2 linked regions of the Drosophila melanogaster genome follow. The protein of the gene in region 1 interacts with the protein of each later gene in a pairwise test. Each region holds a gene or a part of one and is shown in the gene's direction. Other genes may lie near its edges.

Region 1 (7,570 bases):
CTCAACGCCAAACTTGCCCCCGTATCCGTATCCTGCGTTCTGATCCTTCAGCAGCTGCTTCTTCTTGTCCAGATCGGCCTGCTCCGTCTCCTCGCGCAGCTTGTCCATGCTAAAAAGAATAAAGAAAGGGAACAATGAACCCGATACCCAGTGTTTCGAGAATTTCGGATGACTCACTCGATGGTGCCTGCTGTGCGACCGCTGCCGTCGATCGTCTTTGATCCCCAGCGCTGCTCCTGCTCACTGACATCGTTCACGAAGTCCGGATCCGTCTCCCAGTCGTCGTCCTCCGCGGAGGCTGCACTGGTGGCCTGAATCTGGTGACCGGCACTTGCCTTCCACATTCTTTTTACCGGTTTCTGGTCGCTGGTTACTCGCTTATCCTTATCTGCTGGGTAGATAGATAAACACCATGACGAGTGTGAGTAGTCGGGGCAGGTTTTCAGTTGCAGGGGCTCCGCTTCCGATTCGTGGCCCAGATAACAAGTCACAAAACACCGAAGAAGGGAGGGGCCGACAAAGCCGGATCGGGAACAAGATGCCACTGGCGCTCTATGTTCATATGTATACTCACATCCCGATGACTAACTCCTACTGCAAGAGGAACTTATGATCTGATGCCGCTAGGGATGTCTGCAAATTTCTGGGAGGAGAAGGGTTAAACAATTGATTCATAAAGAGACCAACAAACGGGAAACTAACTGAACTAAATTTCATTCGATACAATGGATGCATCGATATGCTACGAAAAGCCGATAAATTATTGTGATGAGCTTGACAAAAGGTAGTTGCTGCAGTTTTAGGGGCGCCCAATTTAAATGATTAAGAGATACAGTCGTGGTTCTTTTACTTTATTCGATAAGTCAATGCACCGATATATACTGCAGTACCAATATATGTGATCGTGATCAATAGAACTGAGTGCTCGGGCAAAAGGTATTTGATGTTATACCAAGTGGCGCCATAGTAATTTGTATAATTAATAAGATTCTGCCAGAACGGTAATTAACAGGTATAAGAGTTGACTTTTTTCATATAACCGCAAACATATCATCGATATATCGATAGTTTTGGATTTGAATTTGCTTCGATGTCGGCTGACAATTAACGTAATTGGTTTTTATATATAGTTATAAAAATACAAATAAAAATAGTTATAAAACGGCTTAGGAAGGAACAGGATATTTATTTAACTGTATTGCCCTAACGGCTGAATATTGAAGTCAAAGGTTACATTTTGAAATTCAATGCGTAATCAGATCTTATTTTCCCAATGTCGTCATTATCACAACGGAAATATCATGAATGTCTCAACAGCTTCCAATGCCGATGATTCATCCATCTCGGAACACTTTAGATTCTACGGTGTATACTATGACGACGCAGAAGATACCAGCTTCCAGTTAGGCGCTACCACCGAATATTTCCTAGCAACAACAACCTATCGCCGGTTGGTTCATCTCTAATCGACTTCCAGCGAGAGAGCGCGAGTATAAAAGCCAAAGACGGAGCGCAAACAGCTATGGTATTTATTCACATCGCTTGCAGTTCGCATCGTCTGACTTGTACGTTGAAAATCGAATATCATTGGTAAATCAAAAGGAATTTGTAGATAAAACTCATTGTTTACTCTCGCTGTGCCAGAAATCGCAAAAAATCAAGCGGAAAATCAGTCGGAAAAGTGAGAAAAGAAAGTGTGTGCTAAACACTCAAAGATAATTTTCATTTGTGCCATTCCAAAATGGGCATTTTGTAGAATTCTAGTTGTGGGTGCGGTATCGCGAGAATTCTCCAGAATCTTGTTTCTCTATTTACTTTATATTTCAATAATAAAAGCCTCGGGTGGGAGAAAAATTCAAAACCGAAAGATGACATCATCAAACTCAAAAGCAAAAGCCCCACTCTTTTGGCGTTTTCTCTCGCGACGCGTGTGACTTTTCTCATCTCCGACGAAATCTAAGTAAACTTTTCTGTTCCTTTCTTGCTTTCCCATTTTACGTAGGAATGAGAAGCGGAATTTTTCGAAATATCTCTATCCCCCAGTGCCCTGCTTAATTTAGTAATTCAATCAACTTCAATTGCCCGACAGGCACTTCAAACTACAGTAAGCACTGTGTATGAGCGCCTGTGCCTTGCTCAGCATTACTCACCGGAATCGGATGTGGCCACATTCCACCGTCCACAAAATATAGTAGTAGTGTACTCGAGGCCGTGCAATTATAGTAGAATAGGTGTGTCATCAAGGTTTATTACTAAGTGAATTGCTCAGTGCATTTGCAAAACATTTTTGAAACATTTCGAGGTACAGTCCATCGAGGTCTCCAAAAGAAGTTGGCAAAAGCTTTTGTTTATGGAGTTTTTCACACATGGTCACGAGCTATTCCAGTTTTTACACCTATATTATAATATCTCTTTTTTAAAGTCGTGCTCAGAGCTTAAAATTGACGTCACAAATCTGGTGAATCACTGAGTGCTGTAATTTCAATGTATCATCAGTCTATTTCAAGAACAACATTACCAGATACGCTATGCTAAAGCATATCTATCAATCTTGTTTTTTCCAGACCCCAACCACTTTTTATAATGAAACAAAAGAATTGTAATTAAGGGTGTTTTCAAACACAAATGTGTTTTCTACATTGAGGTCAAACTATTACGGAGAACTCCAATCAATATTTAGAGAGTCTAACCAATTATTATTGATTACATTATTCTCAACTTGCATTATAATTTATTTAAAAAGAAATCATATATTAACTAAAGTAGTCTATAAACACTAGAATCTTGAGTTTAATTGTACGCCATACGTAAAAGAACCGGTTTCAACGTTGGCCAAAACATTTTGTTTGTTTATAGCTCGACTGCAGAGGCGTTTGTAGTTGTATCTTTTTGTTAACTTTTTTGTTTTTTTGGATGGCGTCGCCACGTCAAGTCTTTTATAATGCTTTTTTCGGCTGCCTTTTGTTGACTTTCTACTTTGGCGGCAGCATAGAAAGGCAAACATGTATTTTCAGCACTGTCGCACTGTGATTACTAATTTGGGGAAGCTATCAAAAATCTCAATCCATTTATCATTAGGTAATTTGGCCCTATTGATTTTAGGGATTATGTGGACTAGTCCCTCGAGATAGTGTTCCACTTGACAACTGAAGTGGAGTGGTAGATCTAGAACGCAAACGGGTGACGAGTCAGACATTTCCCTGAAGCTTTCTCTTGGCCACAACCAAGCCGTGCCCGATGTTTTCCAAGCCAGAACGCAATGAGCTCATCCGTTTATGAGGCCACTTCGTGTGGGTTTGGTCTGGCCTATCACGAAACTGCCGCGCCATGCCATTTGGCTATCAGACGCACCCGGTTCCAAGGTTCGTTCCTCCGCAAACTGCGTACTGAAAAGTGGAAACTTTCACTTTTCCCCGGCAGTACGTTGAACTTCGATTTGGGCACCGGTCGGCAAGGAAAACTAAAAAAAAAAACATCTCGGTAAATAAACTAGGAAAAAAAATCAATGGGTAAAAATGCTCTCAGACCAGCGCCAGGCTGGCTACGGGGCGTATGCGTAATGTGAGGCTTTTACGAGTTGATGATGTCACCAGGCAGGAATTAACCGAAGGCCGGGCTTATTGGGTCTGGGAAACATAACGTATCCAACATTGCTGGGGGTTCAGTTTTCATCACGATTTCGGCGTAGCCATTATTCATTATGATTTCTCACTTCCTACTTACAGATTTTTCACAACAAACCAATCAAAATGAGTTCCGCTGAGTACTACCCATTCAAGGTGAGTTTACAATGGATTGTACTTTATGAGTCTGGTATAAATCAATTATTTCATGCGATTAGCGCCGTTAATGTAAAAAATCAGATCAAATTAGATTCAACAGATAGATGAGAATATCTTAATATTATTTTTTCTAAAACGTGTGTTGTTGTCAAGTAAGCAAGATTTTTCTCGATGCAATCTATAAATTATTACAACGACCAGATGCTACGAAATTATCTATAATTGGGCTATTAAATTATCATCAGAGGTGTATACTAGACAATCGTTGACAAACAAGTACCGATTGGTGGGAGAAGAGAGTGATAAGAGGGTTTCAGTTATGAGTTCCTTAGATAAGAGTCACAACGAAAAAAAAAGTCAATTTAGAAAGCTAACTTTATTGCAGAGGAATTCATGCAATACTGAGATAATACATGTAGGGAATAACCACATATGTATTTGTATTTAGAACAAGTGCCACTGAGTAGTGTTGAGTCATTTCTTTGGGATTACGTGCCCTGCATTAAAATACACCCAATTCTTCTTTGTTGTTACTCATTTGCTGATTGCCTATATTCGATTTGCAGTGCACACCCACTGTCTACCCGGCGGATCCCTTCGATCCCGTCGAGGATGCGGCTATTCTGCGCAAGGCGATGAAAGGCTTCGGCACCGACGAGAAGGCCATCATCGAGATCCTGGCCAGGCGTGGCATCGTCCAGCGTTTGGAGATCGCTGAGGCGTTCAAGACCTCGTACGGCAAGGACCTGATCTCGGACCTCAAGTCCGAACTGGGCGGCAAATTCGAGGATGTTATCCTGGCTCTGATGACGCCGCTGCCCCAGTTCTATGCCCAGGAGCTGCACGACGCCATCTCGGGACTGGGAACCGACGAGGAGGCCATCATCGAGATCCTCTGCACGCTGTCCAACTACGGCATCAAGACCATTGCCCAGTTCTACGAGCAGAGCTTCGGCAAGTCCCTAGAGTCCGACCTGAAGGGCGACACCAGTGGCCACTTCAAGCGGCTGTGTGTCTCGCTCGTCCAGGGCAACCGGGATGAGAACCAGGGCGTGGACGAGGCCGCGGCCATCGCCGATGCCCAGGCTCTGCACGACGCCGGCGAGGGACAGTGGGGCACAGATGAGTCCACCTTCAACTCGATCCTGATCACCCGCTCCTACCAGCAGCTGCGCCAGATCTTCCTCGAATACGAGAATCTGTCGGGCAACGACATCGAGAAGGCCATCAAGCGGGAGTTTAGCGGCTCCGTGGAGAAGGGTTTCCTGGCCATCGGTACGTTCTTATAGCATCCTATTCTTTAGGGTCCCTTCTAACTGATGCATTGCTCTGCAGTCAAGTGCTGCAAGTCCAAGATCGACTACTTTTCGGAGCGCCTGCACGACTCAATGGCCGGCATGGGCACCAAGGACAAGACGCTGATCCGCATCATTGTCAGCCGGTCGGAGATCGATCTGGGTGACATCAAGGAGGCATTCCAGAACAAGTACGGCAAGAGCTTGGAGTCCTGGATCAAGGTAAATACCGATTTCAATTACATTCATATCTGCGTGTGCTTGCCAGAACTTTCGATTCTGCACCCTGTTCAATGTGCCACTAACTCGCATTCGATTGCACCTGCAACAAATCCCATTAATTGTGGCTCCATCAAAGTTTAATAATCGTTCATCCAAGCTGGCTTCTCCTGTTGTTGTTACTGCTCCTTTGCCCAACACTTTCTTGCCGATTTCTGAAGCCATTATCCCTTCCCGCCCGATTGCTTCATTTGTGTGCATAAAACATTAAAACTTGGCATATTCTATATTTTTAGGGCGATACATCCGGCGATTATAAGCGTGCCCTATTGGCTATTGTTGGCTTCTAAAAAGAACCCCATCCAACAATAATTTATCTCTTTCGTCTGTTCCACGCTCTAAACTATATGCAAACAGAATGTACAAACAAAATTCCGATATCAAATAGTTGACAATGTATAGTTTTTGAATTGGAACACGTTTTAACGAAGACGCAGTGCATTTAAGTCGTAGAATCAGAACCCCAGTCTCGCATCCTGTTGATTATTATAACCATTGTGACTTTTATTATTATGACTATGCACGCCACATGCACATAATTGTATCTCTATAATTACTACACCTCAGGCTACTTGCATTGCTGTGTAGGTATACTTTCAGTTTTGTTTTGAGTCTCATTTGCAAGATATTTTAACTTTTAAAAAATACGAAAATAAAAAATACGAAAAAATGAAATACAAAATTCAAATCGAGTTTCTGTTACCTTTAGCAGAGGTCTCTGCACTGCTTGTCATGTAAATAACAGCGCTACATTGGGTCGCCTAACATCAAAACATTAAACATTAAAAAGGGCGTGGATTAAACCAACTTAAAAATCGATTTAAATGGGGCTAAATGAGTATATTAGCCCTCTTTAATTGTCTATATAAACTAGATCAGCAAGTGTATAAGGTATACAAACTGTTAAATATAGTTCAATTTAGATCTAAATATACTTGCACTGCTTGCTAAAAGTACATGTCAATTACATGTAAATATAATGTACATACAATTTCAAGATGTAAAACTTTAAATGTTATGTTAAATTTGAAAGACATTCATTTGCTGATCAGGTAGATATATAGTTGATTACCCCTTGGAGGAGTAGCTTCCGGCAATTAACCAAACCATAAGCCATGTATACAAAGTAAAAGGCGTTTAATGCTCTGACCCTCTGCTCTTTTCACGCTTTTCTCTACCCGTTTAAACGAACCAACAACAGGAGGATGCCGAGACCGATATTGGATACGTCCTGGTCACTCTTACGGCTTGGTAGACGGAAGCAGCCGGAATATCCGAATATCTATGAGCAATACCCCACTGTTCAAGTAGAAAATGCCAAAAACAAAAAAACGTTGCATTTCCCCAAAAAAAAGTATAACAAAAGCGAAGAACAAATGGAGTTGGTCTATATACAGTAGTTGTGATGTGTTCTAAAAATCCAATCTACAAAACGCTTAGTATTTTCCCTCTGTGCAATAACGTCTAACGTTCAACGATTATTTAACATTTTTACGTATTTTTATTTTGTATACATGTCTTTTTTTATTGTAAATTATGGCGCATCAAAGTCGTATGCGTAGTTTGTGCTTGTATTAACTAATAAAGTTGGCTTACACTCAACGGCAAAGCTGGGTCACATTCACCATCCACTGATCTCCTTTCCAGGACGACCTCTCCGGAGACTACAGCTACGTCTTGCAGTGCCTGGCCTCCTACTAAGGATTTCCTCGTTGGATCGATTGTTAACCATTCTATTTGTTGTAACTCTTACTTTAAGGCAAGCATCGTTTGCCAACTGTTTTGCGGAAGATTCATAGCCTATGTTCAATTCATAAATGCACTGTAAAATCGCGGTAAATAATTGGAAGATTTTTTCACTTATCTAGGGTAACCGAAACCAAGGGGGAATGGGTATTGGGGAATATTCGTTAAGGGGGAATGCTGTTTGGGTTTTCTACTTGGCAACTCGATCCTGGTAGGCTGCCCACAGGCGGTCGCGGTACGTCTGAGCCGCCTGCTTCGGGCTGCTGGCCTTCAGAATGCCCCTGCCCACCACTCCGATGTCGGCACCCCGCTCCTTGACCACATGCTCCGGACTCTGGTACTGCTGGCCCAATTGGTCCACGCCCTCGTCTATCTTCACACCGGGCGTCAGTTGCAGAAGTCCGGGGAAGGCAAAGGCATCGGAGGATTGGCATACCACACCGGCAACGAAATCTACATCGGCTCCCT
Region 2 (3,921 bases), on another chromosome or scaffold:
CTCGAATTAGCTGCAGTAAGTATCTAGCATAACATTTCCCATGGATGATAGCCAACTTTGTACCGCTACCCACTTCCGTTGGCTGTCGAGGCGACCGTTAGGACAAACAGTTAACAAAGTGAAACAACTTGTCGAGGATCCCACATCCCACGCCGCAGCGGAAGCCAAAGGGATAAAGGACGTAGAATCAAGGATGTTTAAGGAGGAGGGCAAACACGAGCAGTCAACACGGACGGCCACTTGTCGCAATGATCCTGGACTCTCGATTCTCGATCCTCGGGCTGGCGGCGTCATGAATCAAATGGGCAGACTGGCGAGTGTCCTTGCCAAAATTCCGGGAAGCCGAGTTTTCATTGCCGAAATAAGAAAAGGATGCGAATTACGCCAGCCGAAAAGGGCTGAAAATTGCAAGAACGCCAGAACTCGTCCTAATTTCCATAATTTGTCACGCACAATCCAACGAATTCGCCATCGCATGGATACACAGATTCTAGATGGGCTGGTCAGCAAAAGGATTTCGAAACAAAAGCGCAAAACAAACGGATTTAGCCATCACAACCCTTGGATGTTGTGCATCTATTATCAACAAACTAGATTCCATCTCTTTTCTTCTGCCAGATGCCTCTCTTTCTGGCCAGAAAAGTATGATTTGAGTGTAATTATAATAGTCTACGGTCGGGGGGTCTTTGATATGCGAAATGTTCTAGAAGATTCAGAAGTATGGTTTATTTCAGTGCTGAAGAGAATAGCCTACGATGTTTAATTGCGGTTTATTCTTTATATTTGAAAGCAATATATACAGCAGTTACTTAAATCTAAAGGTTTAATAACTTAAGATTTTTAAGATTGGTTTTTGGGTAAGGGTTTTATCAGTTGGATGTCAAAGCAAGTAAGTTAGGTACAATTGTAATAAAAAATCAAATGCACAATGCTGGTATATACAAAAATCTGGGGTTTCCTCAAACTTGGACTTATAACATCGCAATGAACGCCTATGAAAATAGAGCCGAAGTTTATAACTCTATATTGATTATGAATATTTTTAACCAATTCCATGAAAACGAAATGTAAAGCACTGCAGAGGTGGTACGAATTTTCCTATTTTTTCCCATTGAATATTAAAACCAAGAAAAAACCATATCCTTTCGCGGAAACTGATGAAACGTAAAGTTCGAAAACTCTTTGTACTTTCTTTTTAAAATTACGTTAAATGGCGAACTAACAATAGCACAAAGAACTATGATTTTTGCGAAAACTGCGAAAACCAAATGAGGGAAAGGGCAGCCGCACCCTTGTAAAACCCTTTCGAAAGCGGTGAGACAGAGAGGGCAACAGGCCAGAGCGGGACAGAGTCAGAAGCAAAGCCAGAATCACCCCTTTGCCCTTTGGCCTTTGTACCGCCTACCTGCTTCGTACCGCTTCGGCTGGCCGCTCGTGTCCGCCATTTCGATGTGAATGAGGCGTCGGCGCAGCCTCCGGATTTTCGGTATAAATGCAGGGGGTTCCGACGAGAGGAAATCAGTTTGCGTTCGACATCGTCAGCGTGAAGATATAGCAACATCAGAGCTAGATCACCAGTCTATATAGCGTCAATCAGTTGGATTAAACCCAGAGACCATACACCGAACACCATGCTAATGCACGAGAAACTCATGGCCGGGCAGTTCTTCGATCTCAAGACTGGTAAGTTGGCCACGCCCCTTGGTTTCTCCTCGATCCGTAAACTAACAAATCCCCTCTCTCTCTCAATCTTTGCAGATCGCAAGCCCCTGATGCACCACCACCAGTACCAGCACCACCAGCAGCAACCACTGCACCACTTGCCGCACAGCCAATTGCCGGTTCAGGGATCCTTGGGCCTACCCAAAATGGATCTGTACACGGCCTACGCCTACCAGCAGCAGTTGCTGGGAGCTGCCCTCAGTCAGCAGCAACAACAGCAACAGCAGCAGCAGCAACATCAGCAGCTGCAGCAGCAGCATACCTCCTCTGCAGAGGTCCTGGATCTTTCCCGTCGATGTGACAGCGTAGAGACACCCAGGAAGACTCCCTCGCCGTATCAAACAAGCTATAGCTACGGCAGTGGTTCCCCCTCGGCTTCGCCCACCAGCAATCTTCTGTATGCCGCCCAAATGCAACAGCAGCAACATCAGCAGCAACAACAGCAACAGCAGCAGCAGCAACAATTAGCCTCCCTGTATCCCGCTTTTTACTACAGCAACATCAAGCAGGAGCAAGCCACGCCCACTGCTGCTCCGCCCAAGGTTACACCAACCGCTAACCTTCTGCAAACCTTTGCTGCCGCCTCTGCTGCGGCCGCCGCTGCTGCTGCCGCTTCTTCGACCAACTCACCAAGACCCGCCAGCAACGCCAGCACCATGCAGATAGACGTTCTGGAGAATCCCCTGTCACCGGCTGTTGAGGCCACCACGCCAACCACCTCCAGCAGCGGCGAGGCGGGAAAGAACACCCGTCCCTTCAAGGCCTTTCCCCGGGATCCCTTGGTCATAGCTGCCAATTTCGCAGCCACTGATGTCCTTTTGGACAATCCGCGAGTGGAGCGCTACACGGAATACCGGAAGCGAGTGCTTGAGCAAATCCGCAGCTCCAACGGAGGATCGCGCACCGTAACCAACCCAAAAATGCGAAGGACCAACTCAAGAAGTGGATCCGTCAACGAAGGCAGCTCCTCAAACAACAACAGCGAAAGCGAGGATCGCGCTGCTGCGGAGGAGTCAAGCGACTGTGACTCCCAGGCGGGCAACTTCGAGAGCAAGTCCGCCACCAGCAGCTCCAGCAACTTGGCTAACGCTACTGCAGCAAACTCGGGCATCAGCTCGGGCAGCCAGGTTAAGGATGCCGCATACTACGAGAGGCGTCGCAAGAACAATGCTGCCGCCAAGAAGTCCCGCGATCGCCGCCGCATCAAGGAGGATGAGATCGCCATCAGGGCCGCCTATCTGGAACGCCAGAACATCGAGCTCTTGTGCCAGATCGACGCCCTCAAGGTCCAGCTGGCCGCCTTCACCTCCGCCAAAGTAACCACCGCCTAAAGGTCCACTCCTCTCTTGATGCGTTGAACGCGAGGATCCGAATCGTATGTCCAGTTTTTGGGTCAGCTTATCTGTGAATAGTTTAGGGGGCTCAACTTTCTTTTTTTTTTACACGCTCGCATTTAAGTACTTTAAGTCCTTGGAGTATACGTTATATTTGGAAAATGTATTAGCTGTAGTGCATCTCGCAATCCCACCAGTTAACTATCAATGGAATCATCTATAGTTGTAGAAGTCCCAGCTAGCTATTAATGTTTAACTTATAAGTGAATTTTTTTCATAGCCCTAAGGAATGAATTTCAATAAATTATCGAAAATAATTATCTCCTGGAATTTCTGTTCTCGTTGGTCGCCTCCTGGAACTCCTGTTCGCCTGGTAATTTAAACCGAAAATCTGTTAATTTTGCTTACAAAATTAGCATTTTTGTGGCAAATTTTGGGATTTTTGGTACCAGGCCAACATACTCAGTAGCGGGTGTCTACTGAAAACCAACTAATCGTTGGTCGCCTCCTGGAATTCCTGTTCGCCTGGTAATTTAAGCCGAAAATCTGTTAATTTTGCTTACAAAATTAGCATTTTAGTGGCAAATTTTGGATTTTTGGTACCAGGCCAACATACTCAGTAGCGGGTGTCTACTGAAAACCAACTAATCGTTGGTCGCCTCCTGGAATTCCTGTTCGCCTGGTAATTTAAGCCGAAAATCTGTTAATTTTGCTTACAAAATTAGCATTTTAGTGGCAAATTTTGGATTTTTGGTACCAGGCCAACATACTCAGTAGCGGGTGTCTACTGAAAACCAACTAATCGTTGGTCGCCTCCTGGAATTCCTGTTCGCCTGGTAATTTAAACCGAAAATCTCTAAATTTT

What was found. Proteins that work in one complex are often made in the same cells at the same time.
Region 2: the proteins of AnxB9 (region 1) and gt interact in a two-hybrid assay, tested with the Drosophila melanogaster proteins (one large-scale study listed by BioGRID).

The regions. Positions count from the first base shown.
Region 1 is NT_033777.3:21,063,721-21,071,290, forward strand, and holds AnxB9 (annexin B9), read left to right. Parts: upstream 1-1,520; 5' UTR 1,521-1,681; intron 1,682-2,162; exon of another isoform or gene 2,163-2,231; intron 2,232-3,725; 5' UTR 3,726-3,749; coding exon 3,750-3,779; intron 3,780-4,348; coding exon 4,349-5,057; intron 5,058-5,117; coding exon 5,118-5,299; intron 5,300-5,592; coding exon of another isoform or gene 5,593-5,646; exon of another isoform or gene 5,647-6,034; intron 6,035-6,557; coding exon of another isoform or gene 6,558-6,611; exon of another isoform or gene 6,612-6,819; intron 6,820-6,836; exon of another isoform or gene 6,837-7,003; coding exon 7,004-7,057; 3' UTR 7,058-7,197; downstream 7,198-7,570. Other genes in the region: cortactin, read right to left, coding at 1-109, 178-344; r-l (rudimentary-like), read right to left, coding at 7,293-7,570.
Region 2 is NC_004354.4:2,426,563-2,430,483, reverse strand, and holds gt (giant), read left to right. Parts: upstream 1-1,516; 5' UTR 1,517-1,631; coding exon 1,632-1,683; intron 1,684-1,758; coding exon 1,759-3,053; 3' UTR 3,054-3,371; downstream 3,372-3,921. UniProt on the Drosophila melanogaster protein: Represses the expression of both the krueppel and knirps segmentation gap genes. Binds, in vitro, to the krueppel regulatory elements CD1 and CD2. It is required in the early embryo for the development of portions of the head and abdomen.